4 linked regions of the Caenorhabditis elegans genome follow. The protein of the gene in region 2 purifies or fractionates together with the protein of the main gene of each other region. This does not show direct contact. Each region holds a gene or a part of one and is shown on either strand. Other genes may lie near its edges.

Region 1 (6,647 bases), on a different chromosome or scaffold from region 2:
TATTTTTTTACCAAAAAAAATTAAAATTTATCAACGAAAACGTTTTAAAGATCACAAAAAAATACCGGGGAACTTATGATAAAATTCATACTAATTAGAGAACCAAATAAATTTATTCAAGATAGTTAATAAATTATGGAATACTCAAAAATAAATATTATTTCTACAGGAATCGACGCTGGAGTCATAGCTGGTAACGGAGATACCCCCTTGATGATGGCTCGGCGAACTTCTGAACAACTCTACAATGCAATTCGCGATTTTATGGAACGACCTTAAAGCTCTAACCTTACTGTGAACGAATCTCAATTTTTGGGTTTATGGAGGCGGTTGTTTATATTTTCCAATTTATTTAATTAAAACATGATCTGAAACGAGAATCTTCATCATTATCACAAAGTAAGCACAGAAAAGCCATCAAGGAATGTATGGCGGTAGTTCAAAACAAATACAAATAAAGCTAGAACCCGAGGAAAATGTCTATATAAAATTATAAAATTATTAAGTTCTATGAGCAATTTTCGTTGTTCCACAAATTTTTGGAATATGGCTGACGAACAATCACAAAAATAATAGTGGTTGCAAAAAATGCAGAGTATAGAAATAGGCAAACATATCGAATTATTTTCTCAATTCGATGTTCTACTACATTATAAAGTACTACATATCCAAAGAATAATCCAGTGACTGCTCCAGCAATATGGGCAAGATGTGACACAGAATCACAGTCATTTGTATAGAATCGACGATGAATGGCTCCACCGAAATCCAGAAAGATGAACACGAAGAGCACCAGGACTCGGATCCATCGTAGTGGCATTTCATGCCAATTCTATAGATATAGAGGTTTAATTTTATAATTTCTTTAAAAATTGGACTCACCAGAATAACATTTGCTACATGTGCGAAAATGAGAGCATAAACTCCTGCGGAAGCACCAACTAGAAGCGAATTCGGGTCAATAGCATACTGTAGAAGAGAACCAGAAGTCACTGCCAACAGATAAATTGGACCGATCCTCCAGATTTTATGAGCAACTTCCAATGGAATCCCGACTAATAGTTGGATGATGACGTTTCCGAGAAGATGGTTCAGTCTGTAAAAAACCAAAGCTTGTTTCAAATTTTCGAAAATTAAATAATCCGACTAACCCAGCATGCAAGAACATATAGGATGTGAATCTCCACGCTTCGCCTCTCAATTTTGGCGCAAAAATGAAGATTCCCGGAGCTGTATGATTATGGTGCACGAAACAACCAGCACAATCTGTCCAGATGCTTCTACCACCGTCGGATTCCCAGTAGAAAAAGAAAATTCCAACCTGCAATTGTAGAAGTTTAATTTGAATCAAAAAGTATTTGGTTTACCTGGATGATGGTGATCAAAAGCATAAAAATCGGCGGTGGGCACCATGAATATGAGTCAATATAGGAGTGAACTTCGATCTTCTGACTGTCGCTCATTATAGGATCTGCCATGTCATACATGATACGCTTGATTGTTGATCGTTGTGCAGCTTTTGAAGTCACCTGAAATTACATGTGTATTTGGAATACTTTATTAAATTCACTCAGTTCAAAATAGTTCTGCCCATAACTGTGGGCAAACTTCATACAATTACTTTTGCTATGTTTATTCAAAAAAATGTATGATACTGTATAGTTTTTCAGCGAAACCGCGAGTTTTTAAAGGCTCATAGTAATTTTGCTTATGGGTCTGGCACGATCTACATTACGGAATTGTAGATTTTTCGGATTACGAAATAATTTTGAAATGTTTCCTCAGAAATTACTACCTACCAATTGAGTCATTGGTACTTAACCAGTCGCCCTCATTTTTTTACAAAATAATCTAGTCATCACAGACTTTGCAACAAAAAAGTTTAAAAATAGCTGGAAACCTACGATTTTCTGAAATCCATCAATATCGACCAACTCATCTGGAGCTTCCTTAATTGCATGAATCTGCCCGTTTGTCAATGGAATTTTTCGTGTTTCAATTCGAGACGCAAGTGTTGACATTGGAATCTCTGTCTCATCTCCTGTCCGTAGTTGATTAAACTGATGACGGTAGGTTTTTCGGAATTTTCCTTCGCTACTAAACATGTTGTGGAGAAGGAGAACTGAAAATTGGAATTGTGCGGTCGAAACGAGTGCAAAGATTAGTAGAAACGATAAGAGAAGAGACTAAGAGGATAAGTTGAGGAAAAGTTGGAAATTTTGAGCTGTATTATCAGTTGGCAACAAAAAAGGCGAAATTTCGATTATTGCCCCGAAAATATGGTACCCGGTCTCGACACGAAAATTTTTCGTTAAACGATGTGCACCTTCAAATAGTACTGTAGTTTCAAAATTTTGTTTTTGGGAAGTTACCATCGATTTTTCAGATCGAGTTTAATTTTTCTCATTTTTAAAAAATGTTATGTGATTGTTCTCGTGTGTAAAAATATATATTTCAATCGAAGACCTATAAAACATCAATGAAAACCATGTTATGCCTGAATCTGGTGAAATGTGTAGTGAGAAGAATAAGGGGGTTATCGCAAGATCCTAAACATAAAAAAATATATGCTGAAAATGTAAAGACCGATTTGAAAATAAAAACAAAAAAAAAGAAGTAGATGTCACTTCAAGACCATTTATTGACTCTACTACTCTTCCTTTTCTCTCCATGAAAAAAATGGAAATGTCGTTTCGAATCAAAAAGTGAGAAGTGAATGAAGTGTGTAGATGACTCACTGGCGGTATACGGAAAGAAAAGAGAGGAAAGGTGATACAAACTGATAAGAAAACTGTGTGTGGGGAAATAATGTGGAAGAGAAAGAGATATAGAGATAAAAACGGGAAGAACTGAGGAAATATAGATCTATTGCATATGTATTTGCATAAGGGGGTTAGGCAGTGCTAATAGTTTTTACAAGAATGATGAAACATGAGCATACCAGAAATATTATTGGAATGAGCAAACTCGCACGGAAACTTTCTCTAGTTTATTTTTGAACCCTCTATTGGTTTATATAGGATTACAAGAAGACAATCAACATCAAACAAGTGTTGCAACGTGCCAGAATACGGTCCCCGGTCTCAATTTTTCCTTTTTCTGGCATTCTTATTAATACTTGTGAAAAAAGATTATTTAATAAACAGCAAAATGTGCAAGGAAACGAGATAAAGTGGAAACTACAGTACTCCTCAAAGGCACACATTTTTATGTGCGACATTTTTTAAAAACTGTTTTAGGTGTGCCGAGATCGGGAACCGTAATCATAAATTGCAAACATTTATATGCGGTCTTATTAAATACTACAAAATCGCAACAAACAAATGAACAGCTTCCCTTGGGTGTCTTCTGTTTTTGTTTGACATTCTTGGGAAATAGTAGTTAAAGTTTGTTGCAAATGTCAAAGGAGATATTGAGTAATGAATGATGCGCGTAAATCGACCTACTTATTGGATAGATTAGAGATTCATATCTAACTTTGTAATTCTATGTGCATTAAAGGTGTATAAAATATATATGAGTGTATATTGTGTTATGAAATATTGTGAATGAACGGGTGTATGTCAATGACAGCTGCTCTTTTCCTTGCTCTTTGTTCAGGTTTTGAGTGCACCTCTGCAGACCTCTGCCAATTATTTTGGCAAAAGAAAACGGGAATTTCTAGGCCACGCACTTTACTCGATTCTGAACGGAATAACAAACCAATTTTCAAAAAGAAATTGTATTAAAACAAATAAACATATCATTGTGCATTGTATTTATTGAAACTAATTACAATTTATGATCCAATATTATGCAAATCGATCAGTTTTTGATAGGTACCCAATTCGTGGCCGAGTCTCTCGGAAAGCTAGGCCAAATGCCGTTTTTGGCGGCAGTCGACGCGTTTTGAAAAAGAAAGAATGAGGACACGCAAACGTTTTTCTTGTCAAATATTCCCGTGACCTTTTGACAACTCATAATCATGGAGACGTGTAAGATTGATGATATGGACGGTGACGGTGAATCATTATTCAGTGTTAAATGGAAGGCCTTCCGGAAGAATCCGCGATTCTCGAGGTAATTATTAATATTTATTCAAAGCTTTTATATTTTTACTTTTAAGTATCATAATCAAAACGTTTCAGGTGAATGCCAATACAACTTCCCCCGATGTAAAAGTTAAATGTAAACAATGTGATCGATTTTTCACGTCTGAAAGATCCCTTCGTTGTCATATCAAAGTGCACAGTTAGTTTCAGGCGATTAGATTTATGAAACCAATATTTATTTTTAGATGACAAATTGTTGGAGTGCTATTTCTGCGACAAAATGTTCAATCGAACGGATACTCTGTTTTTCCACGCACTCGACCACATCAGCAAAGGGTAATTGCAAGAAATATTTTGAAATTTTTGAAAAACTGTTTCGTTCAGAACTCTACCTTGTCGTGCCGAAGGATGTGATCAACTCGTTGAGACCATGTTAGAGGGCGAGAATCATGCGAATACAGCTCATCATGTGAATGGTACAGTATCGATAAAGTGCAAGGTAAGTAAAATATCGATAGATTGAAACAGAACTAATCAAAACATTTCAGGATTGCTCCGAAGTTTCAGTATCCTTCCGTAAAATGCTATTCCATCACACATTCAAGCATGGAGAACTTAAAGAATATGCGGAGGAAATGATTATCAAGCAGAAAGATTTCCTTCGAATGAAAAAGAATCAAAGCCGGAAGGAAAGAAAAACTTCAGTTGGAGCAAAGGAAGAATCAAAGCAATTCGATGTTCAAGATGCTTTAGAAATCGAAGTCAAGGAAGAAATCTATGAAGCAGACGAAGATGATGGGATTTTAAAGCAATTGCAGGTTGGATTTATAGCATGATAGAGGTTGAAACTTGAATTTTCAGATGGCTATGTCTGTATCATCAGCTTCCAATTCGGAGATGATCGCGAAACTATCGGATGTGATTGCAGAATTATTCCCATTGAATGATAACGAGAAATACCAATGCACTCATTGCTTGATGGTATGGTTTTTGCTCTGGAAAATCTTAAAAACGTAATTTTTCACAGAGTTTCACCGACGCAATCCTCTGGATGACGCACATTGGATATCACGAAATTGACGATCCGTTCAAATGTTCTGGATGCGGCCGAAAGTTTGAGAATCGGTAGGCTATTTCGAAGATTTTGCTCTGAAGATCAGTAATAATTACAGACAAGCGTTCGCTCTTCATCTAAACTACTTCGCACATACAATTGGTTTTGGAGGAGAAAACGAAAGCGATGAATAGTTCTATTTCATGTTCCTTTATTTTATTTAACAAATAAATATGCATAATACTTGTATTTCTGCTCAAATTTATTCCTGCGTGAAGTTCCATAACTTTTAAAATACTTCTTGTTTAATTTCGTTTCATAGTTTCTTGTTAAGTGTATTTGTAAGTTTTCCGCGTTTTAGATAAAATCAATATCATGTCGCAAAGAAAAGAAGTCTTGAATCAAATGCTGGACACAACTCTGGAAATATTCACAAAATCATTGTTAGAGTCCCAGGATTTGTGGAAAATGGTAAGCTTGATATTTTTGCACGTTTTATCCAGAACTAAAATTTTCAGAGTTCTCATAGAAAACTCAACATGGATAAAGCTGCAGTGGATGCTGTGATGGCTCGAATGGCGAAATCAACACAACAAAAAGTTTTGGAGAAGACTGATCAAATGATTAAAGAAAATAGTGTTTACGAACTTTTCGATGATATGGAACAATTGACGAGAGAATCTGAAGAATTAAATAAGCAACTCGGAAGAGAAATGGGATATAATCCAGTCAATGTTTGTATATTGATTTTAATATTAATATACACATTTTCATCGTTTTAGGCAAAACGAGATGTCGCATTGCACCTCTCCGAAACTGCCGAGAAAATGCTCACTGAAGCAGATGCTGAAATCGAAAAGATTGAAAAAGAACTGAAAGCTGAAGAAGATGAAATAGCTCGTCGTAAGCAGGTGCTCAAGGAGCTTGCAACAATTGTCGAGTCACAACAGCAAAAGCTGTAGAATTTTGATATTAATATAACCTTCACTTAATTTAACTGAATCTTTCTTTTCCTATTTACCAAATTTTTCTGAACTTTTGTTTGTCTCTAAAATAAAACTTTCTCTTCAAAAAAAACATCTTTCGGAATAATTAATATTCATATTGGTTTGGAATTGTGAGGGGAAAATTCAGAAAGGGCAAGGAGGTATGAAACTTTAAAAAGTGATTAGTCATGATAAAGGTTAGCAGGAATATCTAGCGATGGGAAATAGGGGACAGATACTTACAGAAAAAAAAAAGTAAATCACATTCAAGGTATAAAATATAATTTTGTGTTGAATCTCAAGGAGGACAATGATAATGGGTTTCTGCGAACTCATTCATCCGTTTCACGTGCTCACTGAAGTAATTGACCATTCCCGAGTGAACAAGACGGCGTGGAAGGCCACCTGAAAAATATAATGAATAGAAAAATTGATAAAGTTTTAGTTTTCATACCTTTGAGATCAGTCTTCATGAGCCATTCGAAATAAGTTACTCCTGCTTCATCTTTCAATGTTCGAATCATGGATGGGAAATTGTGTCCTCGTACGATTTTCGGATTTCCATTGTTTGGGCAT
Region 2 (7,268 bases):
CGGGTATAAAAGTTGATTACCTTGCGTCTTGAACTTGTTTAAGGTATTTAAAAATCGATGGACGGCGAGCTTTAATTCAAAAAAATTAAAAATCTCGCCGTCCATCAATTTTTAAATATCTTAATCAAGTTCAAAACGCAAGGTAATCAACTTGTGTACTCGAAATTTGACGGTGATTTCAAAAAAAAATTGTTTCCAGCCGCTGCGACATTGATAAGTTAGGCAAATTTCCGATTTTAACTAATTTTAGGCCATTTTTTGAGCCGTCATAACTTTTTCCTGAAAAGTTTTCAAGAAGTTTCATTATGAAATTCGGTGTTTTCAGACAATTCTGAGTCTAATAAGGCAATAAAAAAATTCGACTACACCACCTTTAATAGTTTTAGAAGAGCGATATTCTGCACTTACCGCTCTATGAGGATTACATCCCACGATTTGTGGGAAAACTCCGGTGTAAACGTTCTTGTATGCTCCATTCAACAGCTCATAGGAAATCTGAACAATATTTCTTTCAAAAAAAATCCTACAACATCCAATTTCTCACATGAACACCCCACAAAAGCTCTCCGGAGGCGTAGATTTTTGCCATCAAGTTGAACTGGAAAAGTAACGATGCGAATGTCATCCATTTCATCGCCACGTAGATCATCATAGTGGTATGCATACCGAAACGTTCGCGCTTCTTGTGCTCAAGCCAGCGGAGGGTCTCTCGTGCGTCAACTTCATAATTGGAATTGCTGGAATCCATCTTGTCGTCCTTCTTCTTCGACGCAAGAGAACGAACGATTGCAGCAAAGTCGTGGCCGTAAAAGTAATGAAGCCCGAAAAATTTCCACATTAAAGCCGGAACGAGGCACATGGCCACTTGGAGAAAAATGATGAATGGGGTCCACTGATAATAGGTCACAGCAACTTCCTGAGGCATGATGTTATTGATATTCATTGTTCCTTGCCTCGTTGATCTTTTCACAGCGCTGAAAATCACCATTTAAACAATTAATGTCCAAAAACTGTCCAAAAACTGTACTTGTGAAGCGGAGGAATGCGCAGCTTGTCCTGATAGAAGCAGAAATCGTGAAAATAATTGGCAGATGAATCTGGAGTTTCTGGAAGCATCAGACAAGTGATCGGCTGGCCGAACATCATATTGGAAGACACCAAAAATCCAAAGCATATCAAAATTTGGATGGTTGTCGTGTGAACAATCCGCTCGGCGCCGTTATCCCACTCGTGAAGTTGAAGAAACGGCCGGATCAACTTATCGATAGCCGAAAAGCCCATCTGAAAAATGGAAATTAAATTGGTAAAAATCCGGATTGCTTCCTACTTTTCCTGCTTTTTCAGATTTTCGCTCCTTTTGATTAGATGATTGTTTTGAGCTGAAATAATTATTTTAATCTTCAGAAATCCAAGAAAAACATGGAAAATAGTGGAAAAAATTACGATATTTGCAGGAAATTAATTTTAAATTCCAAATAAAAATTTCGCGCGCTCGCAGTTTGATGTGCAGGTTTGTCTACCGTACCCATACGACGAAATTCAAATTTTCATTTTTTAAACAAAGTTTTTATTCAATTTAGATCTTTAGATTCAATTTCAACCCATTTCCGATTAAAAATGGAAGAAGAATTTTCAATGTTTATTATGAGCATGAGCAATAGTATGAGCAGCCTATGGCCTGCTCCAATTGAAATGGATTCAATAGACGAGGGAACTGAAAACGTCGCAAATATTGGTGAGCTATCATTTAAAATTTAAAATTCCCACAGGAAATTTCAATAATTTCAGCATCCAGATGGTCTACCTGCTGCAATATAATCCGTCTGCATATCGAACAAATGATTGGTTGTGAGGTTGACGTGGCGGTGGCTAAAAGCACCGATCTCGGAGTCAGCATGACGCGTGGAAATTCTGATAGCAAGCTTGAGCCTATTTCAACTCTACTTTCAACAATTTCAAAGACAATTGAATCAAATGGCGAGGCGAATGCGGAATTTGCTATTCGGGAAATCGAAAAAATGAATAAAAGCTGCGAAACAGAGTATAAAATCAAGAAATTTCACTGGTTCATCGATGTCGAGATGTTCCTGAATATTGTTTGTTATTTAATATATAATTTTAATGTAATATCGTCCTTTTTTTTTAGAAACTGGCATTGCTCGACCGCGAATTTCCACCAAATCTTACTGTTTACGTCATCGGTGAACTGAAAACTCTTTACGACGATTATGAAGCTGCAAAGGAAGTTGCTACAAATTTTGAACGATCTAGTGTAAACCTACGATTCTTATTGTGTCCCGCTGATTTGAAAGAACTGAACCGAGAAATTATTGCGGAGAAACGGCAAAAAATGAGCGAAAAGGAAATTATTTGTAGATTTGGAAGCGATAAATTCAAGATTAAGGTGTTTTTAGTGAAATTTTGAAATTCAAGTATTTATTTCAAATTTGCAGCTATTCAAGAAACAAAAAATAGGAAGCCATGTAACACTGATCGACTCTATTTCATTTCTCGGATTTTTGCCTGAAATCGAGCTCTGCCGTCAGGGATTCCTGGGAAGCAAACGATCAAATAAGCTGAAAATGGACATTACAACAGATTCTAAACTTGGAAATAAGATTCTTTTTTCCTTATCACAGTACTTGTTAAACGAAACGAAACGTCCTCAAACTGCTCTTTTCTCGTTCTCTTCAAAACCGAAACTTCGTGGATTCTGTATCATGGTGGCGTATGAGAGTGGTCCGTTCTGGGAGTACGGATTTCGTAATGGAACCTCTGAAAAATCTCTTTTTAAAAGATTTTTGGGATTAAAATTTCGAAAAAATTGGACAATTTCTCCAATTTTTGGTAAAATATTCGATTTTGAATTTTCGAATCAGCCAAAACTAGGAGTTTTAGCTGAAATTAGCCACTTTTTCGAAATTTTTAACCACTCAAAAAAAAATTTTGAGATTTTCTTTGGCAATCTCATTACAAAATTTGTTTTTTTTTTGGCAAATTTGTAAAATCCAACTGTAAAATCCAATTTCAGAAAACGATGAAACATCAATCACCCTGATTCAACTCAAAGCATCTCTGGGAAAATGTCTCTGGAAAACCCTGAAATTTGTAAATCAGGTCAGCTTTTTCTGGTTTTTGTTTGAGAATAAAATCAAATTTTTCAGTCAGGTGAACATTCTAGACCGCTTCCCGACGACTCATACGAGCAAATTGCACCGATAGAACGGAAGCAGCTGAAACGAAGATTGTCTCGAATCGAACGGATCGCTTCTTCAGTTGAAGAAAAAAGAGCACAATTTGAGGCTTTCGCCAGGGAATATGACGCTTTGGATGCTCGAGACGCCTTCATGAAGTTCACTTCCACGTGGCAAACGGATCAGGGACTTTTGACAGCGCCCACGCCCTTCGAAGATGATAATAATAATAAATGATTTATTTTTTGAGATTTTTAGAGGATCGAATTTTAGAATAAAGCACTTGGAATTTATAGGTATTTAGGTTTGTTTCGTTGTTTTATTTATTGGTTTACAGCCAAAATTACTTTTTTTTTAACTTTTTAATTCCTCCTATTGATTACCCAGGAACTGCGATTTTCCACCGAAAATACGGTACCAGGTCTCGACACGACAATTTTGTGCTGAATGCGATAGGAATTTCCCAGAGAATCGAAAAATATGCCTTTTTTGATTTTATAAATTTTTTCCGATTTTTAGAGTTAAAAAAAAAAAGGAAAAAGCGACAATTTTCGACTTTTGATTTTGAGAAAATTCCAATTTTTGGATAATTTTCCGTCATTTTTTATTTTTTAAAGACTTTCTTTATTTATTTTTCATAATTTTCATCCAGTTTTTAACTAACAAAACTATTGTCACACAGAAAACCATGAAAAATCGATAAAATATCCGCAGCGACAAAAGTTTGAAATTACAGTAATCCTTAAAAGCGCACACCCGTTTCATTCAACAAATAATTGTCGTTTCGAGACCAGAAACAGTATTTTTGGAGGAAAATTGCAAAATTTTTACGCCTGTTTAATAATAAATATAAATATGTATCCATGTTCCATGTCCGCAATGCGACGTGAGCGTGTATGCACACCTCACCTCCCGCGAACCAATAATCTTCAAAAACAGTTTTTCGCCCTCATTTCTTGATTTAATCCTGAACATTTATTCTTTAAAAATTCAATTCAGAAACTAAAAATGGAGAGCGAATTGTCGGGAATCTCTAATGAAAATCAAATCTCGTTTTTCGGATTTTCGGCCGGTTCGTTCAGCGATTCCAGTGAGTTTTATTGAATTTTCGAACGTTTTTTTGCGGAAAAATCAGAAATCTTTCAGTTTTCAATATTTACGTCGACGCATGGGAAGAAGTTTGCAGCAATGAGTTTAAGAACTCATTGAAAAAGGTTTTTTTTTCAAAAAAGAAATTTAATTTTAAAAAATTTAATTTTCAGCTCACCGACAAAGACCGTCTCTGCTTGCTATCCTTCCCATTCAGCGACAAAACTAACGAGAAAGCATTCAAAATGATGAAGGTTTGACATATTTCTCGATTAAATATCTGAATTTATGCCAATTTTTTTCAGAGATTCTGCGTCACAAATATCTTCAGAATTCCCGCCTCTGTGACTCTTCCAGAATGCGTAAGAATTGCCTTTTTTCGGAAATTATTTATTTAAAAAATCATTTTTCAGAAGAAAATGCTCATCGCGTCGGCCAAGGAGCACAAAAGTCTGAAACAGGTCGAGAAGGAGTTCGACGAGAAATTGGAGAAAATTCGACAGGTAAATAAAAATAAATGAGGAACCTATCAGAATTTTTTTTTTCTTCACTACTAAATGGACTTAAAAATGCGGAAAATATACTGAAAATAGCTTAAAACTGTCCAAAATAGACTACAATGACTGAAAAAGGCTGCAAGTTGAGTAAAAATGACCGCGACTAGACTGAAAATCGTCAAAAAATTCAAGAAAAATTGCTTAATTTTAGAAACCTGCTAAAATCGCCAGTTTTTGCATCTAACCTTTCCAATTTTCACATAAAAGCTTCAAATTCCAAATGTTCAGCTCCGCATCAAACTGGCAAAACGACATGACGAGCTAGAAGCAGTGAACAATGCTATTGAAGTGCTCCATGTGATGGAGAAGAGCCAAGAGCAGCTTATAAGCCAGAAGAGAATTGTCCCCGATAGCCCAACACGAATGTCTCCAGTTTAACCTTATTTGTTCGAAAATCGATATTTTAAATATTTGATTTCTCTTTATTTTCTTTTTTTTTAATCCTATGCTAATTTTTTTCTTGAGCTCAAATTTGAGTGCTTATGAAGCTACACATTTACCAACTTAAACAACTATATAAAAATAAATTTATTTTTGAGAAAAATCGTGAAAAGGTACATGAAAAATAGCATACAATCATTCCACCGAACATCTTTGTGACCCGTATTTCATCGTCTAGAAACACAAAATCAAATCATTTTGAAATAAATACACAGAACAAAAAGAATAATCACAGCAATTACAAGGATCGAGAGGAAGTACAGAACACGTTTTTTCGACGAAATACACGATTTTTTGTCATCCAAAGTTTTCCCGTCGTCTTTATCAATTTCCAGGCTGATCTCGGAGCCCATGCCGAGCTGCTTGATTTTGTGCTCGTGCTCATCCATATGATTGCACGCACAGCCGAAGCAGAACGTGTGCTCTCCGCTTTCTCGGCGATCTTCCCAATTTGCATAGTTTTGGAGCATGCATGTCGGGCAGTAGTAGACGCTGGAATTAAATTTTGAGAAAAAATTATTTTTTGTTTTTTTTTAAGCTGCGATGTTCCTTTTTTTTTCTTAAAATTTTGTGAGATTTCATGAAAAAATCTTTAATTCTTTTAATTTTTATTACTAGCTACGATTTTAAAGGCGCACACTCGTATTTACAAGCGAGGGTCTCGCAGCGAAATTGTTTAGATTAACAACTGCGATGTGCACCTTGAAGATTACTGTAGATTTTATTGAATTTTCTTTAGATTTTTTCGCATACTTCTTTCTTTTTCGATTTGTAAGTAGTTTTTCTTCTTTTTTTTCATTTTCATAACTTTTAAAACACAATTTTCGAATCAAATTATCGATTATTCTTATAAGAGCTTACCTTGACTCATCATCACAATTGCATTCTGGATTCGCCTTCTTTTTCTCGAAAACGGCTAGAATTTCCACATTTGTCGGGATCTCCTGCGTCATATTTACCGCTTCTCGGCACATCGGACACGTGTCCTGGCTTTTGAGCCAATCAAAAAGGCAAGAGTAGCAGAATGTGTGACCGCAGTTCTCCAATAGTTTTGGCAGGTGCTGGAAGTCATCTGAAAAATTGGAAATTTGAAAAAAAAACTGCGAATTATGGCAGAAAGACTAGACTAGTAGAGAAAAAAATACTTACCAAAATCGAAGAAGCAAATTGAGCATTCGAGGCGGGAGGCCATTTCTAGAGAGACAACACCGCGCAACGGGTGGGGCAAGACTGATGAGAAATACTGCACAGCTGCAATGAGTACATCTGCCATTTGGAGACCACTCTATCGATCGTCTAGGGTCACAGTGCGCGCGTACGCGGTGGTCCCGAACACACAGCTGCTGGTATTTTTTCATTATATTGTCACTTGATGGTACAGAGAGAGAGAAAGGGAATGTTGTATCACTTGTAGCAGAGGTGGACGGGAAACGATTTTTCCGGCAAATCGGTAAATTGCCGGATTTGAAATTTCCGGCAAACCGGAAAATTGTCGGAATTGAACATTTCCGGCAAATCGGCAAATTGCCGGATTTGAAATTTCCGGCAAATCGGCAAATTGCTGGAATTAAAATTTTCCGGCAAACCGGCAAATTGTCGGAATTGAACATTTCCGGCAAACCGACAAATTGCCGGAATTAATCAGATCGGCAATTCGGTAATTCAGCAGTTATCCAACTCCAAAATTGTTCAAAAAATTTAAAAAAATTAAAGAACCAAAATTTATTTCCGACAAGTGTAAAGCATAGTACATTTCCTTATTTCTTCTTCTTCTTTTCCAACTTTCCACTAACTGTACTGGCTTTCGGCGTTTTTGACGCAGAAGACTTTGGCGTTCTTGGCGTTTTGGCGTTTTTCGGCATTTTGGCCTTCTTCGGTGTTTTCGAATTTTTCGAATTTTTCGGAGTTTTTGCGTCTTCCTCTTTCTGAAAAGAAAATCTCTAAATTTCCGGCTCCAACATATCCAGCTCACCTTTTCATTCATTCT
Region 3 (9,458 bases), on a different chromosome or scaffold from region 2:
GATTCCAGAAAGTTTTCCTGGTTTTAGATACATTTTGCAATTCACCAAAACTATGACTGATTTTTTTTAATTCAAAAAATTTGTTGTGATATTCAGCCATGTTTGCCTTCATAAGTGCTTTTAAACTAAATCCTCACTTACTGTTCCCCATCTATAAAAGGAACATCTAACTAATAATCTAGATTTTCAAAAAGCTTTTGAAAATCATAATATGAGACACAACCTACCTCAATGATAAAACTTCCAGAAGGCTCATTTTCTCACATACTTGAATGTCATCGATTCCGCACCCCCTGAAACAGAATACTAATTTTCTTTTTTTTTTTTGGAATTATTGCTTTGAGTTAAAAATTCAAATTTTCAACCTACCATAAATTTAGCTTTTTCACATTCTCTAGTGAACATTTTGTACGAATATATACAGCCGATTCAGTTAATTTCACCATAGTCGTGTCCCGTAATGAGTAAAAGTAATGGGACAAAGAGGGAAAAAGAAACGAGTTAGATGAGGGACTCGACGGAGCAGCTGCTGGTAAAACTGAAATGGAGAAGGACCTTCTTTTGGGAACGAGAAAAAGGGAGTGGTGTTTGAAATTGTTGGCAGAGAAAGAACGAAAGTGGAGGAAAGAAAGAAAAGAAAGAAGAAAAAAAGAGAAGAGATGTAGAATAAGAGGAAGAAGCACACTTTGGAATGCAATAGAAACCAACATGGACAAGCATGACAAAAAGAGCAACAAGTGCTCCATTTCAAACATGATAAATGATCATATTCAGAACTTCTCTAAGAATTTTAGCTTTTTGTGAAGTTTTCAAGTGCATAAAAAATTATTTTCTGATTTTCATTATTAGGTTGATTTAGAAAGCTCGCGCTATATGTTAGATTCTTCTTAACAGTGGAACAACTAGGTCGTAATGACCAAATATAACTGTACAAAATGTTATAAAAATATTATTTTTTCTCAATTTTACAACAAGACAATTCAAATGGCTGATCAGGCCACGCCCACTTTTTGGAGTTTTCATTTTTTTCTGGCAAATTCAATAGCCCTTGCAAATTTTTATTTTTGTTTTTCAAAGCCTCCACATAAAAATTAAAAACTGAGAAGAAGTAAAACTTTAAAAAATCAAAGTAAAACTTAAAAAAATCAAAGTAAAACTTAAAAAAATCAAAGTAAAACTTAAAAAAATCAAAGTAAAACTTAAAAAAATCAAAGTAAAACTTTAAAAAATTTGTATACTTACTGCTCACCTACGTACCTATGTACCTCCCGAGGTGTCAAACTCTTGCCTACCCGCCTTATTATGTATATTCTATTTGGAACTACAGTAGTAAATAGTAAGCTAAAATTATTTTTAAGAGAGGAGACTGAAGCTCCGATTTTTTAAACTCCGATTTTTAAACGCACAATAACTTCATTTTACAAAAAAAAACACGGCTACAAAAAAATTTGGTTACAAGGAATATTTATTCATTTGACTATTCAAACCATAAGTCTCCTTTAGATTGATTGAGAATGAACTAGGAATAAAAACATAACTTTGTGATTGCTCTGAGGCATAAATGTATAGGGGAAAAGGTAAACATCTTGAAGGAAATACAGCAAGTGCGGTTGATGCACAATGGGTATTTTTAGATGAAAAAAAAACTAAAATATATGGCACATTAGGTAAAGAATTATATGAGCATCAGAAGTATTGTAGGCCTGATGCAAGGGAAGGGTGAAGGCGGCATCTAAAATTATAATTTTTGACTGTTAATTTTTCGATATTAAACTCACTAGAAGTTCACAATTTTCTTAACAGCCTTAGAGAACACCAGCATTCGACTTTTCTTCAAATCGTTCCTCTGGGCAAACTTCTCGTGTTCTTCCGCGACTTTCATTTCGAGAGCATTTTTCTCTGAACGAAGTGCAATCATGTTTGAGCGTACATTTCGGAGTGCTTTCATTTTCTGGTCGAATTCCCATTGCTTCATCTCCATCCACTCCTTTCGGATTTTCCCGCTCTCTTCGCGTGATGGAGGAAGACTTCTCAGCTTTTCTAGTTCTTTTTGAACGACAGCCATCTTATCGAGACCTCTTAGCTGCTCAGCCATTTTCGAATTTCCTTGTTCTAGTTCAGCAATTTCCTGGTCACTTTCAATTTTTTTCTCGAGTGCAAATTTCAGACGAAGCTCCAAAAACTTGATTTCCGCGTCTTTTCTTGCAATCATAATCGCTTCTCGCTCATCATGACTAAACTTCAAGAGCTCCTTAGTCTTCAACATATCAATTTTCTCAGCAGAAAGTTGATTGGTTGAATTCAGAGAATCAATCTCGTGTTGTACTTTCATTTTCTCGTTTTCAACAATACGCTGAAATTTGAGAGCTTCTGGATGTTGTTCAGTGGACGGATCTTCAGATGTTAAATATACAACGTTGACCACAGCTGGATCGAAGTCTGGCATTTCGAATTGAGGAGATGGAGGTGGAAGTTGTACATTTTGTGACATCAATGATGGTGTTCCTGGGGCAGCAGTTTTTGAAGAATTCAGATGAGGAGAGCGGACTGATGTATTCTGAAAGACATTTTCGATTCAATACTCAAAGAGATATTCTTACCATCGCGAGAATATCTCTTCCCGAATCGTTCAAACTCATACTCGGCATCGAATCTTGACTCGTCTGCATAGTTTTATTCTGTCGATATTCTGTCAGAGCTTCCATTGTTTGCCCATTCATCGACATTATAGAATTCTCCAACGCAACACGACGAGGAGATTCACGAGCAGAATTCAGAAGAGATCGACGTCGTTTAGAGATAGACTGGTTGATGCTCAAATTGAAAGCCGAATATGTTGAAATCTTGGACGTGTTCACTGCTTCCGAGTCGACATTGTTCATGATTTGCGATGTTTCATTATGGCCTTGGAATGTGAAATTCGCGCCAGTATTCGAGGTATCTAAAACATACTTTTAATAGAGTTATTGAATAAACGAAATTTACCATTTTTCTGCAAAGTCTCATCTCCGAATTGCTCCTGCTCTTTGTTACTGTTCAGTTCAACAGCAATAGACTCATGGACCATGCTAATGTCTTCACACGTTGTAATTTGCATAGTTTTAAGAAGAGTATTGTTGTCCAATTCCATCGAATTGTTGAGAGTTGCACTCGAGTTGTGAAGGGCTGATGGTTCTTTAGTGGCAAGAGAAGCTGACTGTGAAGCAAGGATGACTGGCGTCTTCGACGAACCATCGTCTTCCAACTTTTGTGCTACATCAATCATGGAGGAGTGCATAAAAGCCCTTTCTTCTTCGATGAGCATAAACGACTTTTTGTCGATTTCCGAATGAACAGAAGATTCGTTTATCATGGATACGTTTTCTGAAGCATTTTCCTCTTGCCGCTCGAGAGACGTGTAGACATCATTAGTTGTAGTCACTTCTACATTCGACTTTGGCAACGTCAAGGTTCCATCATTTTGTGTCTCGTCAATGCTCATTTCGTCACCGAACACGATAGATTTCTGCGAATCAATGATCGAGTTGTTCTGAAAGAAATACATTTTTATTGGAAAGTGTGCTTAAAACTTACCGCTCCGATCTTTACTCTGGCAGGACTCTGGAACACAGCCATGGTGTCGTTTACTGCAGGTGAATCTCGAATCACCGAAATGTCCATTAAATCCTCCTTTTGAAGTTGCAAGCCGTCGTTCTGCTGATTACCAGCCTCACATGGTTGTTGTTCAGTGATATCCATATCCATGTCTAAATCTTCCACCTCATCTGCGATACTCGGGTATTTCGTTGATTTGTCAGCGGCTTCAATCGTTTTCTCGAGATCCATGCTGCTCTTACTGACGTGTTTCGGGCTGTTGAACATCGCCATAGTGTCATTTACTAGAACTTTCGGAATAGAAATGTCCATAAGCTGACTTGTCTCGAATTGATCATTTTTCTTCTCCGCGTTTAATACGGCCTGATCAGTGATGTCCATGTCCACAGGTACGACGTTCGAGGCGATATTTATTAGATTCTGAGGAACACCCAAACCCTTATTACAGATGTCTCTCGGACTGTTGAAAATGGCCAAAGTATCATTAACTTGAACTTGTGGCGCCGAAATGTCCATCAGTTGACTTGGCCCGAATGTATCATTTTTCTTTTCTTCAATTAAAGTGTGATGTTCAGTGATGTCCATGTCTACAGGCATGACGTTTGAATTAATCGGAATCCGGATAGCATTCATGGTATTATTTTCATCTAATTTACTCGTATCCATTTCAGCGGCTTCCAAGTTTGTGAAATTGAACACATTCATCTGTAAAATTAAGATAATTTGGTTCCTTCTATTAATTCAACATACCGTTTCATCGCACTGGCCGCCCGCTGCTTTTGATTCATCGAGGTCCATCGGTATAGTTCTATTCATTGTAGCGTTATGCTTCGGAACTTTGGGAATCGTGAAAAGAACTGAACGATCAACTGACATATCCTTATCTTCTTGATTCGTTGTATTGAACATTGCTAAGGTATCATCCAGTGGCATACTAACAATTCGCTCGGTAACTTTTGTTGTGGTTTCGACGATCTTTTCGTATAATAGTGTTGGATCTCTTGTGGTTTCAAACAATCTCGCCGTTTCGTTGTTCTCGTTGATAGTTGTTTCGAGAGACATATCCATAGTTTTATCGAGATTACCACCGCCGAACACTTGAAATGAGGACGTGCAGGCCGGAGATTCGGAAATATCCATGTTTCCGCCACGTGGTCTTAAAAAGATTTTTACGTATTCATTATTTCACGTTAAAGGATGGAACTCACGTCAAAATACCATCTGATCCAATAGTGTCAGTAATCTTCTCCTTAACTGGTGTGGCGTCAAGAATTTTACCATGGTCCCTGTCATACTGCCTGAAATAATTATTTTATTGATAAATTATTCACTGACTCTAACTGACTTGACATGCTTCACGTTATGAAAGCTGACTCGTCGATTAGTTGTTGTGGAACTAGGCCCACTGTTCATGACGGTTTCCTCGATGGTTTCGACGGCTTGCCGCACCTTGAGAATCGAGTTCCGCTTCTTACGAGGCTCCATCGACATGGCTGTAAATATGTTTTAAAAATGGTAATAAATTATGATTAAAAAAATAACAAAACAACGGCAGCATAAACTTCGTTAAATGGGAAAAGTAAAAAAGTGAAAAGTAAACGAAGGCAGTTTTGCTTGGCGGCAAATCTCTGTTTGAAATTGAACTTGTACAATGGAGCGAAGCTGCACTCGACACACCACCGGTTCCGTAGAACGCACACTACGAGTAATTCCTTAACTTGGGGCAGTATAATACAATTTTAATAGTTTAAAAAACCAATTGTTTCAAAAATTAGATAAAATTCAATATTAATAAATAAATATATGTACCATTACAGCTGATACACATTGCAAAAATATTTTCTACGAAATTCGAATTCTCAAAATCCGTAGTTTCTCTTGTGAGTACTGTATTTAGATATTTTTTCAGGCAGATTTCAATTAATTTTTTTTTAACCGTTAAGCTTTATTCAACACATAGAGAATCAGGCGGTATCTCTCCAGTCAGGGAATTCTAATTTTATTTGCACTTCTGTTCCATCTGGTGTAGTTTTATCCAAGAGCAATTGACATGATTTCTGAATCAATCGAGCCAAATTGTGGTGTTCTACGACAGGCTCTAAACCAATACAAATTAAGTTCCCAGAATTTTGTGATTTCTCAACTTAAAGGCAATGGAGTTTGTGGTGGAGATTCTTCAGTGACAATTATAGTTTCCATGTTCTTCTCAGTTGCTGAGAACACATTAACTCGATTCTGGAAAAGTTTTAATGAAAATCTACGTAAAAATAAAAATTACCGGCTTCTTTTTCACATTGAGAAGTTCTGCAGAATACGGATCATCTGATGCGTTCCATTCCGATTCTGTATAATTTTGAAGCGCTTCTCCAGTTGAGCTTGGTGGAACTAAAACTTTTTATTAAAAAAAAAACCGAAAAGTTATATATATTACTCACGGCTTATAGAAGTATCAGATTTACTAGGATTTTCTTCCTTCTTTTTGTTGTCCATCTTGTATTTGAAAATGATTTGTAAAATACATTTCCATAAGTGAAAACTCAAAATTACGTGTATTGCATTTTTTTTTCGAAATCTTTTAATTAAGAAAAAACATCTTTTGAAAAGGAAATAATTTTATTCTTCAAAACGATAAAATCAAAATCAAGAGGCAAAAAATGGCAGAGCAGCAACCAAGCAAAGAAGAAAAGAAAGAAGATAAAAAAGACGAAAAAGAAGAGGAACTACCAGCACCAAGTGTTCAGCAATCTATTCGACAGTTGCCGAAGATTCAAATTACTGATGATGGTAAGGATGAAATTTCAATATTACACAGATGCGAAATTTTGTTAGTTTACGCTGAGAAGTACGGTGCCCGGTCTCGACACGACCGAAATATTTTTAGGCAGCGTTTTTAGTTAGAAAACAGGCGTATGGCTTTAAGGACTACAGTAACCCAACTCCAAGCTATTTTACAGTTTTCGCATCTGGACAATACAAAGTTTAATTTCCAGATAAGGGCGAACAGCTGCCAGAATGCACTGAAGGAGAGTGGGATGCCAGTGATGAACCGTTCTCAGCTGAACTTCTGAACGTCAAAAATGCTCCAGTAAATATTCAAATTTGTAGTAAATCCTTCTAATCATCCAATTTCAGAACAAGGTATCCGTGTTCAGTGGTCCTTATCGTTCCAAAGAAACCATTGAAAAAATCAAAAAGTTCAGAGCAGCAATGCCTCCTGTCATTCCAATCATTGACGAACGGCCAGATAAGCTGGCTCAAATGATGAGTCGTATTTTCAGTGAGATAATTGACGGACGTGATCTTTCGAAGATTAAGGTATTTTTCTTTATAAAGTAAATGACAAAGGAAATTACAAATTTTACAGGTGACAGTTAGCACACAATTGCCGCAATGATTGGATTTGACAATATGAGATCGGTTGTAAATATTGACCAATAAACAATTAATTTTCCACTCGTATTAGTTAATTTCTTTTAATAGTACGGCTCCCAACTCGAGTCATCCGCGGGTCCGAGTACTCCAAGTACCAGTAAGAATATATCGACAATCCACCAGATTCCAAATCCACCCAAAGTCATTAGTTTTCCGACAGCCATTGCAGAATATCCCAGGCAAAAACGGTCGACAGCAACCACACCGAGAAAAATGGAATACAGAAGAGTTGTGAGAAAGTAGTGACCATTGTATCTGAAAATATGAAATTTATATTTTTTCTGAATATACTTCAAAAATCATATAATCTCTTCGTAGGAGCATCTTTATTGTGTCAGTTTTAAATAATTTTTTTAAAATAAACCCCGGACGCGAAATTTTGCGACTTTTGCGGCAAGAGTACTGTACCACGTCTCGACACGCCTTTTTTGTTAAATGCGAATTTAAAGAGTACTGTAATTTCAAAATTTCGTCGATGTGGAACTTTCATCGATTTTTTAAATATTTTTGGTGAAAACTGATTTAATAAAATTTATTTATTTATTTATTTGCATGTATAACATGAAAACACTTTAATTTTAACAAAAAAATTTTCTTTCGATTTGTGAAAATTTAAGTGTTTTCAAAAATAAATAATTAGTCTTTCACATAAATTTTATAGTAAAACTCCGTAAAAACTGTGAACATTCCGCAGCGAAATTTGCGGCAGTAAATATAGTTTGAAATTACAGTACTTTTTAAAGGCGCACGCCGTTTTGCATTTAACTAAAATTGTCGTGCCGAGACCAGTGTGACCAGAATTTTTTTGAAACTCAGGTTTTAATAGCTATTTATATTTCAATCAAAATAAAATGTTGAGTTTCGCTTCAAAAAAAGCTTACATTATACAAGGTGTTGACTTTGTAAACGTTCTTGGTCCATGACATTCAATACACGGAAGAACTCGGCACTTGACATTCGTGAACTCAACGTCCTCTGCTCTGTATCCACCCATTTTCAGACATTTTCCTTCATTTCGAAAACTCTCATTTGCTGGTTGCTGTCCCGTTTGTCCAGGGCCGTAGAGTGGAACTGGATCCTCACATAAAATGAAGGAATTCTCAAGAAAACGACATTCGACGACAGGTCCAAGTGGATTTGTTGATACATAGAAAAGATCTAATAAGTCATTTTCCTTTGATGAATCAAAGCATTTTTCCGACTTTTCATTATTTGGATACTGCAATTGGGAAATCACAATCAAAATTAAACTGCTCAGCTTACTTCAAATTCTATTCGAAATTCGTTGTTTCCGTTTGAAATATTTACGAGAAAGAATGGGATCAGCCAGGGTAATCTTCTCATCTGGATATTTTTGTAAAGTTTAATTCGGATAATATCTTTAAAACAAATATTTTTTAAGGAAAAAACCGAAAATTACGAATGAACTGTTGAATGAAACACATAAAAATTTATCACCGCATGGTGCCAGCTGGGAAAAATCAACAAGAAAAAAAGAACGGAAATTTGCAATAATTATGAAGACAATAATTAAAAAACTAAACAGTAGTAACAAAATTATTTCTTCACAATCTGAATCACATCTTCATGGTCGAGTTTATGATGAAGACCGACACGTTGCGGAGAGAATTTCGTCGATGTTCCCCAGACGATGGCATACCGGAGTTGAGCAGCAATTGAACGATGAAGGGCGTGGCAACAATGTTCGATAGTGGCTCCACCACGGAGAATGATACCGTCTTCGGGTCCTGAAATTTTCATTTTTGAATTGAGAGAAAATTGATTAACCCTAATGTGAATTTTAAATACAAATTTTAAGCGTTAAAAATTACCAAGATCTGGTGCGTTTCCAGGTTTCTTCGTGTAGACTCTCACTAATGCCAAATATTCCCACATTTTCTCTAAAAGGTAGTCCATATTGAGGTTCATTTCACATGAAATAACGACGTGATGAGGCATTCTAGCTAATCGATCAATTTCTTCAATCGAAATTTGATCGACTTTATTGTAGACATAGAGGCACGTCATGTATACACGATTTCCTTGAATTACATCAATAAACTCATCGACTCTGTAATTAATAAATATATCAATTTGGGACTTCTGCTCAGTGATAATTAAAAAAAAACATACGTGCAATCCTCGCGGAAAATAACGTCAGCATTGAAAATCTTGTACTCGTGCAATACTGTCATAATCAATTTCTCATTACAATGAGTTAACGGAACAGTATTTGTGAATTTCACGCCTCCAACTTTCTTTTGTTTGACATAGATATTTGGTGGCTTTTTGTTTAATCGAATACCAACAGCTTCTAATTCTCGCTCCAAAAGCATCTTCTGTTGGTCACTCTTTCCTGCATCAAGCATCATAAGAATTAAATCTGCAGTTTTTGCAACTGAGATAACCTGTCTTCCTCTTCCTTTTCCCTG
Region 4 (8,574 bases), on a different chromosome or scaffold from region 2:
CGTATACTCTGGAAGTTCTTCCCGATGGATGTTCAAATTCTTTGTTATCAACAGTGTATCATCTCCACAATTGGAAACAGAAACAAGGACTTGAGAATGTTGGAGAACTTGTTACTACTGTAGAGAAAGTCTTGAAAACAAACGAGGTAAATTTCTGAAATAAAAACAATAGTACAATTTTTTCATTTCAGAACACGGTGTTGATGAGCATGAATGGAATTGGGCGAGCAGGGACCATGTTAACGCTCTTCACATCAATGCTTTCTGTTCAAAAAAGCAAAGAAGTGAATCCGAAGGAGATACTGATCAAGCTGAGAGGAGAAAGAAGTGGTCTCGTAGAAAACGCTGATCAATTCAATACAGTTCATCGAGCTATGGCTTTATGGTTTAAAAACAAGTGTTCGGATGAGGAAGTTCAGAAGAAGGTTGTAGAATTTGCTCCAAATGTGCAATAAATCTTTTCAATTTTTTCTGTTTGTTGAAAAGCATTTGTTGAATAGTATTTACCTTTTGCGGAAAAATTAATTATTAAAGTTTCAATAAACTCAGTCTTCACAGAGTTTCTCAGAAGCTCCTTCAATTATTCGAGACAAAGACGTCGTTGTCCTTATTTTCAGTTGACCACTGAAGCCGTGGAAAGAAGTAGTTATGAATATTTGAATTCGCAACATTTTCTGTAGTGCGTTTTCTGCAAAAAAAAATTCGTGACGCTTCTTCCAGTCCGATCCTCTTGGAATCAATGCTCCACCAACACCAGATGAAGCAGGTCTTACTGAAAAAAGTGGAAAGAAGCATGGAAAGAAGTAAACTATGATTTTGAATAAAGAATTCGATTATGAATTTGTATTGCTGAAGTTAAAAGAAAAATTTATATCCTCAAGTACAGTTGGCTCCTCCGATTAGTCTATCATTTTAGACCTTATGAAGATTCAATATTTTTCAGGCAGATTTCTGATTGAACATTGATCTTTGGGATTCTAAGTTTAACTGGAGAAAATTAAAGCTTTTCTCACTTCAAGAAATTTTCTAATCTGGTTTTACTGTTGACAACATGAACCTTTGAATCTGTTAGTAAAAGTTATAATATTTTTCTCCCAGAGGGAGAAAAGAGACACACTTGGTTAACGTTTCGACTGGCACTGGCTTATTTAACAACTCGGTAAGAGCGTTTCAAAACGGAAGGAGACCAAAAAGATTATCTAACATGCATAAAATTTGGAAATGTAGTGAATTGCATTTTATTTCTGTGTATTTAAAACTATAAAAAAGAAATTTTATAAGCAACGACTTTATTTTTGCTCAAGTCTAATCAATTCTTCAAAAAGTTCCAAACAATCACGGGATATACGATGTTTTTTCGTCCGGATCATCTGGCTTTCTGAAAAACAAAAATGATTTCGCTACACTTTTTTAAACAATTTTCTTACGTGGCTCTTCGTTTAACTCTTTTCAAAGTATCAGCGAATTGTGCTTTTCTAGTTGGTGCAGTGTGCAAGTCTGTTTTTTGTTTGTTTGCTGGCGTGAGGATGTTGCTGGATGTTTCATCTCTGAATAAATACTTAGGGTATTTGGATTACTAATAATAAAGCCTACTCTACATTCTATAATTTAAAAATCTCATTTGATAGGCGATTTACTCACTTTGCTGCCTTTCCCAATGGTACATTGATAATTTCAGTTTTTGCAGATTCCGTTTCAGATTTCTGTGAATTTCTCAAAGAAACTTGATTGTTACTTGAGATCCTAGAATTGGTAAATCTCTGAGCTTGCGGTGCCCGGCGTGGTACTTTTAGAGAATCAATTCTGAACAGTTTCAAGATATAATTATATTGGATATTGAATCTTACACTGTGATTTTCTCCTTTTTCATACTTTTTTCACTCGATAATCTCCTCTCACTTTTCTCAGAAATCAATGAAGATTTTGACGTTGCCGCTGGTTTACATGCTCTTTCAGATGACGTCGTTTCTCGAGAACTCTTACTTAATTTTATTAACTCTTTGATGTTTTTTTTTTAAATATTGACCTACCTCTTCTGTGAATTTTTAGAGACACAAGTCGTTCCAATGATGAGTTGTAACATTAACGACCAGAATAAAAACAGAATAATTGATATTTGTGAATACAAGCACATTATTTTGCTTGAACACCCCTCAGATGTTATATTGAAATATTGAGAAATAAACGGAAATTTTGAAAATGGAAAATTATTGAACATATTTCGAGGATTACGTTTTTAAAAATATTTCTTCGTGTGGTATGTAGATGTTATAAACAAAGAAGTTGAATGAAAAATGCTTTATTTGGCACAAACGGCACGCTTCTAAATTTAGCGGCGTCGGGTTCCGTCCTCAAAGAAGACTCCTCCGTCGATAGCACAATACTTGGGGCAGATTCCCTTCTCTCCTTCTCCTCCTGGCTTTCCAGCGGTTCCTGGTCCTCCTGGGTTTCCGTCAGCTCCTGGTGCTCCAGCAGCTCCTGGTGGTCCCTTTGGTCCAGCTGGTCCTGGTCCTCCGGTTCCTGGGGCTCCGTCATTTCCGGCTGGTCCGGCTGGTCCTGGTGGTCCAGCTGGTCCTGGCTCTCCTGGTCCTCCTTGCTCGGATGCTCCTGGTTCTCCTGGTCCTCCTGGGGCTCCTGGGGCTCCGTCGTTTCCGGCTGGTCCTGCTGGTCCTGGTGGTCCGGCTGGTCCTGGGCCTGATGGTCCGGCTGGTGATCCTGGGTTTCCATCTGGTCCCGGTGGTCCTGGTGGTCCGGCTGGACCAGCTGGTCCTGGTGGTCCTCCTGGGCATGGTTGGCATGGTGGTTGAGTAACTGGCTCACATGGAGCTGATGCTCCTTTTCCTGGATTTCCTGGGGCTCCTGGAGCTCCTGGCTTTCCTGGCTTTCCTGGTTTTCCGGGAGATCCACCTGGTCCTGGTGGTCCAGGATTGCAGCATCCATCACATCCTCCGCCGCCTGAAAATGTATTCAAATACTTAAACTCTGTGAACCAAGATCCTTACCTCCGCCTCCGCCTCCTCCAGCTCCTCCAGTGGAATAAGCTTGACGAGCAACACGAGTATTGTTTCCTGGAGCATCCTTAATAAGATGCACCTCACTCCAGATATCACGAGCAGAAACCTTGCAGAAATTAACATCAGTGTGAATCTGTTTCTTCACATTATTAACATAGTTATAAACCATTGGCAATGTGATGAAAACAGAGACAACGGCGACAACCGAGAAGGTGACTGCCGAATAGGCAACAAATTTATAAGCTTTGATACGAGCGTCGATGTCCATGATTACTGTTGGAGGGTGAGTGATGGACTGAAGAATTCCAAAAGAACTGATGTTTTTATACTAGAGACGTCCATGGCTATTACTTGGAACTGGTATAATTGTTCTTGTTAAGGAGAAAGAAAAGAGAAAGAATAAGAGGATCCAGTTCTGTGTTATCACTCCATTGGTTAAAGATACTGGTTTATTATTGTAAACTATATCAGTTTCTCGAAGAAAAAAAATTTGACGTAATTATTGGCTGGAAACTTCAATTACAAAAATGCAAATATTAAGGGGCAACTTCTGTTTATCAATATACCGACTGGAAATGATCTAACCATTGTAGGAAAATTCAATTCTATTGTATATTAATCGTGTTTGAAATTATATCTCAAAAGTTCCAACAATTCCTTCATTCTGGAATCTCCGGAAATCAGTTTCCTCGCGAGTGCAGCGTCTCTGTAATGTAAGTGCGCTCCAATCACAATTGCTATAGCGGGAAAATTCAAATGTGACTTCTCTCTCTCTCTCTCGATATTGTTTTTACTCAAATTTCTATTTTCGTTTTTTTTTTCATAAATATTTCTGTAAAAATGTTTTTTCTTCTTTAAGTTGGAAAACAAAGTTCTCAATAGTTGCCAGAATTATTTTTTTAAATTTTATATGCGTCGCCTTCCGTTAGTATATTCAGTTCTGGTCAATTTTATTCGCTCATTACAGTTTCTTGACAATGTTTGGAGATCGAAGAAAAACGGGCGGCTTGAATCTCAACGGACGTGCCTCAATCGCTATCACTCCGACTAAAAGATTCACCGATTATACTGGATCAACATCAGTCAGAAAGTAAAAATATCCAATTTCGTGCGATGAAGAACTAATCTAATTTGCAGAACTGACGCTCGCCCCAGTCTGAGTCAACCTCGTGTGTCATTGTTTAATACTAAAAATTCATCAGTTGCTCCGCGAGATGTGAAATCATTGGTCAGCTTAAATGGAAGCAAAATTTACAACTTTCTTGTGGAATATGAAAGCTCGGATGCACCATCAGAACAGCTCATTATGAAACCTCGTGGAAAGAATGATTTCATTGCTTGTTTCGAATTAATTTACCAACATCTCAGTAAAGACTACGAATTTCCACGGCATGAGCGGATTGAAGAGGAGGTGTCCCAGATATTCAAAGGTCTTGGATACCCGTATCCACTCAAAAACAGCTACTACCAACCAATGGGATCTTCTCATGGATATCCACATCTTCTTGACGCACTTTCTTGGCTTATTGATATCATTAGAGTTAGTAACTGATTTTTTTATTATTTTCATCCCTATTTATTTAACCATTTAGATCAATTCTGCTGTCAGTGAGGACACACAAAATATCCTGTTCGGTGATTTCATGGAACAGGGAAAAGCTCAAGAAAAAACGCTCAATTATGCATGGATGACAAGTACATTCAGAGATTATACAAATGATCGAAAAGCAGCAGAAAATCCCAGTTCTTCATACTGGGACGACACGAAGCATCGTCTACGGAAGTATTTCGAGCAATCCAATGAATTCGAGGATATGACTAAAACAGCTGCATCAGCTCTGGAGATGCTCAATTACGAATGTGATGAGATAGAGGCTGATGTAAGTAGAATTTCGATACTTTTGTTTTAAAGAAGTTTTATTTTCAGAAAGGAAACGAAGCAAGCTTAAAAGAAGAGATATCAAGAATCAGAGACGACATCCGAAAAGCTAAAGATTATCTCGAGCAAAATCTTCATGTTAAGCAGCATATGGAGAAAGAACTGGCTATGGTGAAGTCGGAGCAAGAGGAGAAAATTTCAGAAAATGAAAAAGTGCAAAAGATGGTGGACGATCTGAAGAACAAAATTGAGTTGCAAAAACAAATTCACGGATTGACAGGAAAAGAAGTGCGTCAAATGAATCTTGACAATAATAAAGACAAGGAGGTGGTACTGGAAATTCAAAGCGAGTTGGATCGTCTATCAAAAGAAACATGGAAACTCAAAGATGAAGACTTCTTCAAAGAGGTATTCTAGGTTTTTGGAAAGTTGAATGCCTATCATTCACGGAAATACTTGTATGACAATCAAATTTGTATGTTTCAGCAAAAGTCCAAATTCATTCATCTCGCAGAACAAATCATGAAAATTCTCAGTGGACTTAATATTCAAATGAATCTTGAACCACTAAGAGCTCCAACGAATGAAAGGTAAATTTCTAACAATTTATTAAAAATTCACAAATCTACATTTTCAGAGATCTTAAGGATTACTGGGAGACGTTGAACAAGATATGGGTTCCAGAGATCAGCCGACAGTTGCATCAGAGAAAGCTTGAGCTTGAGACTGAACAGTCAAGATTTTCAAATAAAGCAGTTACCGCAGAGTAAGTTGTACTCGAATTAAGCGCCGTTCCATTGAATGTTAATAATATACACATTTATAAACAATAATTCAGAGAAAGAATCCAAATTCAAAGCGAAACACTCTGTGAAGCGAAGAAGAATGAGGCTCGCGAAGAACGAATTCGTCGAAACGAACGTGATAGCTGGAAAGATGCTCGCAAACATATTGAACAACGATATGAACAACTATTGAATGAAAAAGAAGTACTTCTAAAGCAAATGAAACTTGATGGAAGCCTCGAGAAAGAAATCGAAGATGAGACCGCCAGAATGTCTGCAACTGGAGAAGAACACATACAAAAGAGATCTCAATTGGAAGCTGGAATCCGGCAAATATTGGATCTGATGGTAGTGGAAATCGCCGAGATTGAGGTAGGTCCTGTCAATTTTACTGAGCTATTCTATTTTTCATTTTTTCAGAACAAAAAGATAGGATTCCACGTGCAATGTGCTGGCATTGAAAAGGCGGTTCTTTAGTCTCCTTTGGCATAATCATTCTGTGAATAATACTAGCTTTCATTAAAAGAAAAAAAAAATGACTCTAACATTTATTTCTGTGGTTTAGACTTATTTTATAAAAAGCCAATGAACAATGATTTCCAGCAAAGCGAACTTTAATATATTACACAAAAAATGGTTTCAAGCAAGTTTAATAACAATGTGGTTCCTCTTTGTGCTTCACACCGATTTCCATGTTAGGAACTCCTAAGTCAAACCACTTATTCACCTGAAAAATTATTTTGATGGAGTATGAAGTATCATCAATTACCTGCATCCCCTTGTTCACATAATTGTCTGGGACAGTGAAAGTAATCTTGCGTCGACAAACTTTGGAAGATGAACGACAATTGTGATATATACGTAGTTGGGGATCAATTGCAGTTATTGAAATTGCAAATCCAGATACTTCGAAAGTTCCGTCTTCGTTTACATGGGTTTCAGCAATAAGATCGTCTGGATCGACTGAAAATTGAATTTTTTGTAGTTTTTTGAAGCAATGTTTTATAACGGTTTTGTGGGGATCGTCCCCACAAAAATAGACGAGAGATCCTGTTTTTTAAGTGAACAATGTTTTATCATAATTTGTTCTTGTTTTGGTATTCACTTGAATTTAAATATTTCTAGGTGTATCGTGGCCCTTTACCGTCCAGTGAGTACATTTAGTTTTTGGTAGGAGTGCACAATTTCAGACGTACGCTCCTGCATGCCTACGCGATTTCCTGATTATCTGCATGTAGTCACGCCTACGTGCCTACCAACATATGTGCCTGTATGACGCCCTTCTACCTATGTGTATACAACCATTCTGCATGTTTGTTCTATCTAAATTTTTTTTTCAAATTCGCGTTCCTACTCATGCCTACAAATATAAGTCCCTGCCTGCCTATGTGCCTACCTGTCGACGTGCCTGTCTTACTAAATAGTCGATTTGAAAGCTTGATATGTGAAAGATCGGACTCTCTATTCCTAAATAGCCCCATAACCAGGTTGTTTCAAAATTTTCCAAACACACCGGCTTTAGGAAATTTTTTGATCCTTGGAAATAACATTACCAAATTATCTTTCGAAATTATTGTACTCTATCTTTTCAAAATTCACTTAGTTTTGAGACATGTAGTGAAGTGTCTGAATCTCTGATTTTGTTATAAGACCACGTGATAAAATTTATCAATCTGAATGTCAACATATTCCATACAACTACTAAAGCTACCAAATAACATGATTCAGAATGTTAAACTGATTATCACTTACACATATCATTATCCCACAATTTGACAGTGGCATTCCTAACTGGGCGTCCTCCACACATTAATTTCCCTTTTACGCCGACTGCCTGTTTTCTTCCAATTGCACGAACTTTGTCAATAAAACGAACTGGCGGCTTCTGAGTTGCAATTAATTCAATTACTTCATCTGTTTCAGATGCATTTGCATTGATTTCATCGAGATTTGAAGCATTGGAGAATGTCAAAAGGATTGTGGCGAATAGTAGAACAATCAAAACTTTCATGATTTTTTGTTTTAACAAAATTGTGAATGCGCAAACAAAAAAAGTGAAATAACAGAAACAACTTCTTGTCTTAAATGTCTTTGTAATCCTAACATAATCCCGAGAAAACAAAAAAGATTTATTAATAGGTTCAAAAGATTAAAATAACAACGCAACTCTTTGCTTATGTACTTCAAAGTTTCGGTTTTCTCATGAAAATAAGAAAAAGAGTTTGAGAATTTTCTAGAATTTGCAGGACTTTTACAAACATCAACAACCAGTAAACATTTATCGATCAGAAACCAAAAACATTCTGGAGAAATTCAAAGTTCAGAGAGTTTTTCAGAGAGATCATAAGCCTATATGGGCACAACAGGACCTTCCCGCCTACCTAAATTTTACGGTGAAAATGTTTTAGAACATTTTCATGTTACATCCATTTCACCTATTAGGCTTCACCTATGCAGGAAATTTCCTTTTTCCAAATTCAGTAACGCTTGGCTCTGCTTTCAAACTTTAGGAACTTCTATATACTAATTTCAGCATTTTGTATCTTTCTCGAAGCGAACACCCTTTTAATCCACTTTTTCATACAAAAATACAAATTCGATATTTGTATTTTAGAGATCTTTTGAAGTGTTCCAGAATAGTTTGCTTTTCTCTACACAAACGTCAAAGGTTTCCTTCGTCACGATTGCCTAGATATACTTCGTGCCAACGAGAATAGATAAAACTATTTAAATTTAAGTCGTGTAACCTTTGAAATACCCCGTAATCCGACCCTTCGAACTTTCCACGTCTTTATCAGAAATACAATCAGAATCGATATTCAAAATCAGTTTCGAAAATTTCCAATTCTCCGCGTAGCAGAAGGCAGCTAAAAAGAAAAAAGTAGCCGATAGAAAT

The links.
Region 1: the proteins of mis-12 (region 2) and kbp-2 purify together in Caenorhabditis elegans (affinity purification with mass spectrometry, with the first as the bait; 2 studies listed by BioGRID). This does not show direct contact.
Region 3: the proteins of mis-12 (region 2) and knl-1 purify together in Caenorhabditis elegans (affinity purification with mass spectrometry; 2 studies listed by BioGRID). This does not show direct contact.
Region 4: the proteins of mis-12 (region 2) and ndc-80 purify together in Caenorhabditis elegans (affinity purification with mass spectrometry, with the first as the bait; one study listed by BioGRID). This does not show direct contact.

What each region holds. Positions count from the first base shown.
Region 1 is NC_003281.10:4,902,684-4,909,330, reverse strand, and holds kbp-2 (Mediator of RNA polymerase II transcription subunit 21), read left to right. Parts: upstream 1-5,446; 5' UTR 5,447-5,460; coding exon 5,461-5,556; intron 5,557-5,603; coding exon 5,604-5,819; intron 5,820-5,867; coding exon 5,868-6,047; 3' UTR 6,048-6,147; downstream 6,148-6,647. Other genes in the region: F26F4.12 (ANK_REP_REGION domain-containing protein), read left to right, coding at 170-279; rom-1 (Rhomboid-related protein 1), read right to left, coding at 509-832, 883-1,096, 1,152-1,321, 1,368-1,529, 1,905-2,105; F26F4.8 (C2H2-type domain-containing protein), read left to right, coding at 4,024-4,059, 4,128-4,230, 4,277-4,367, 4,416-4,530, 4,580-4,849, 4,893-5,012, 5,059-5,156, 5,204-5,279; tag-340 (START domain-containing protein), read right to left, coding at 6,370-6,476, 6,526-6,647.
Region 2 is NC_003279.8:3,602,629-3,609,896, reverse strand, and holds mis-12 (uncharacterized protein), read left to right. Parts: upstream 1-4,193; 5' UTR 4,194-4,202; coding exon 4,203-4,284; intron 4,285-4,340; coding exon 4,341-4,408; intron 4,409-4,456; coding exon 4,457-4,537; intron 4,538-4,588; coding exon 4,589-4,645; intron 4,646-4,696; coding exon 4,697-4,786; intron 4,787-4,991; coding exon of another isoform or gene 4,992-5,024; exon of another isoform or gene 5,025-5,068; coding exon 5,069-5,218; 3' UTR 5,219-5,382; downstream 5,383-7,268. Other genes in the region: inx-22 (Innexin), read right to left, coding at 409-495, 545-974, 1,028-1,281; Y47G6A.25 (uncharacterized protein), read left to right, coding at 1,618-1,735, 1,789-2,096, 2,147-2,404, 2,454-2,739, 3,032-3,117, 3,165-3,431; Y47G6A.31 (RING-type domain-containing protein), read right to left, coding at 5,470-5,773, 6,143-6,353, 6,431-6,473; Y47G6A.3 (uncharacterized protein), read right to left, coding at 7,039-7,206, 7,254-7,268.
Region 3 is NC_003281.10:8,246,263-8,255,720, reverse strand, and holds knl-1 (Outer kinetochore KNL1 complex subunit knl-1), read right to left. Parts: upstream 5,090-9,458; 5' UTR 5,086-5,089; coding exon 4,940-5,085; intron 4,893-4,939; coding exon 4,803-4,892; intron 4,751-4,802; coding exon 4,345-4,750; intron 4,300-4,344; coding exon 3,574-4,299; intron 3,530-3,573; coding exon 2,986-3,529; intron 2,942-2,985; coding exon 2,601-2,941; intron 2,558-2,600; coding exon 1,778-2,557; downstream 1-1,777. Other genes in the region: F09G8.5 (leucine-rich repeat domain-containing protein), read right to left, coding at 228-293, 370-746; C02F5.2 (DUF5356 domain-containing protein), read right to left, coding at 5,559-5,692, 5,739-5,829, 5,873-5,979, 6,030-6,084; C02F5.10 (uncharacterized protein), read left to right, coding at 6,249-6,378, 6,585-6,679, 6,727-6,909, 6,959-6,988; TM2 domain-containing protein C02F5.13, read right to left, coding at 7,068-7,281, 7,908-8,245, 8,290-8,370; putative GTP-binding protein C02F5.3, read right to left, coding at 8,584-8,774, 8,859-9,097, 9,160-9,458. UniProt on the Caenorhabditis elegans protein: Acts as a component of the outer kinetochore KNL1 complex that serves as a docking point for spindle assembly checkpoint components and mediates microtubule-kinetochore interactions.
Region 4 is NC_003282.8:10,082,156-10,090,729, forward strand, and holds ndc-80 (Kinetochore protein ndc-80), read left to right. Parts: upstream 1-3,981; 5' UTR 3,982-3,991; coding exon 3,992-4,104; intron 4,105-4,151; coding exon 4,152-4,554; intron 4,555-4,606; coding exon 4,607-4,894; intron 4,895-4,941; coding exon 4,942-5,301; intron 5,302-5,379; coding exon 5,380-5,483; intron 5,484-5,530; coding exon 5,531-5,659; intron 5,660-5,731; coding exon 5,732-6,050; intron 6,051-6,098; coding exon 6,099-6,155; 3' UTR 6,156-6,282; downstream 6,283-8,574. Other genes in the region: W01B6.6 (Tyrosine-protein phosphatase domain-containing protein), read left to right, coding at 1-146, 192-455; W01B6.8 (uncharacterized protein), read right to left, coding at 1,336-1,378, 1,428-1,547, 1,642-1,803, 1,848-1,982, 2,031-2,218; col-2 (Cuticle collagen 2), read right to left, coding at 2,330-2,955, 3,003-3,282; ttr-39 (Transthyretin-like family protein), read right to left, coding at 6,328-6,405, 6,448-6,641, 7,431-7,689. UniProt on the Caenorhabditis elegans protein: Acts as a component of the essential kinetochore-associated ndc-80 complex, which is required for chromosome segregation in mitosis and meiosis and spindle checkpoint activity.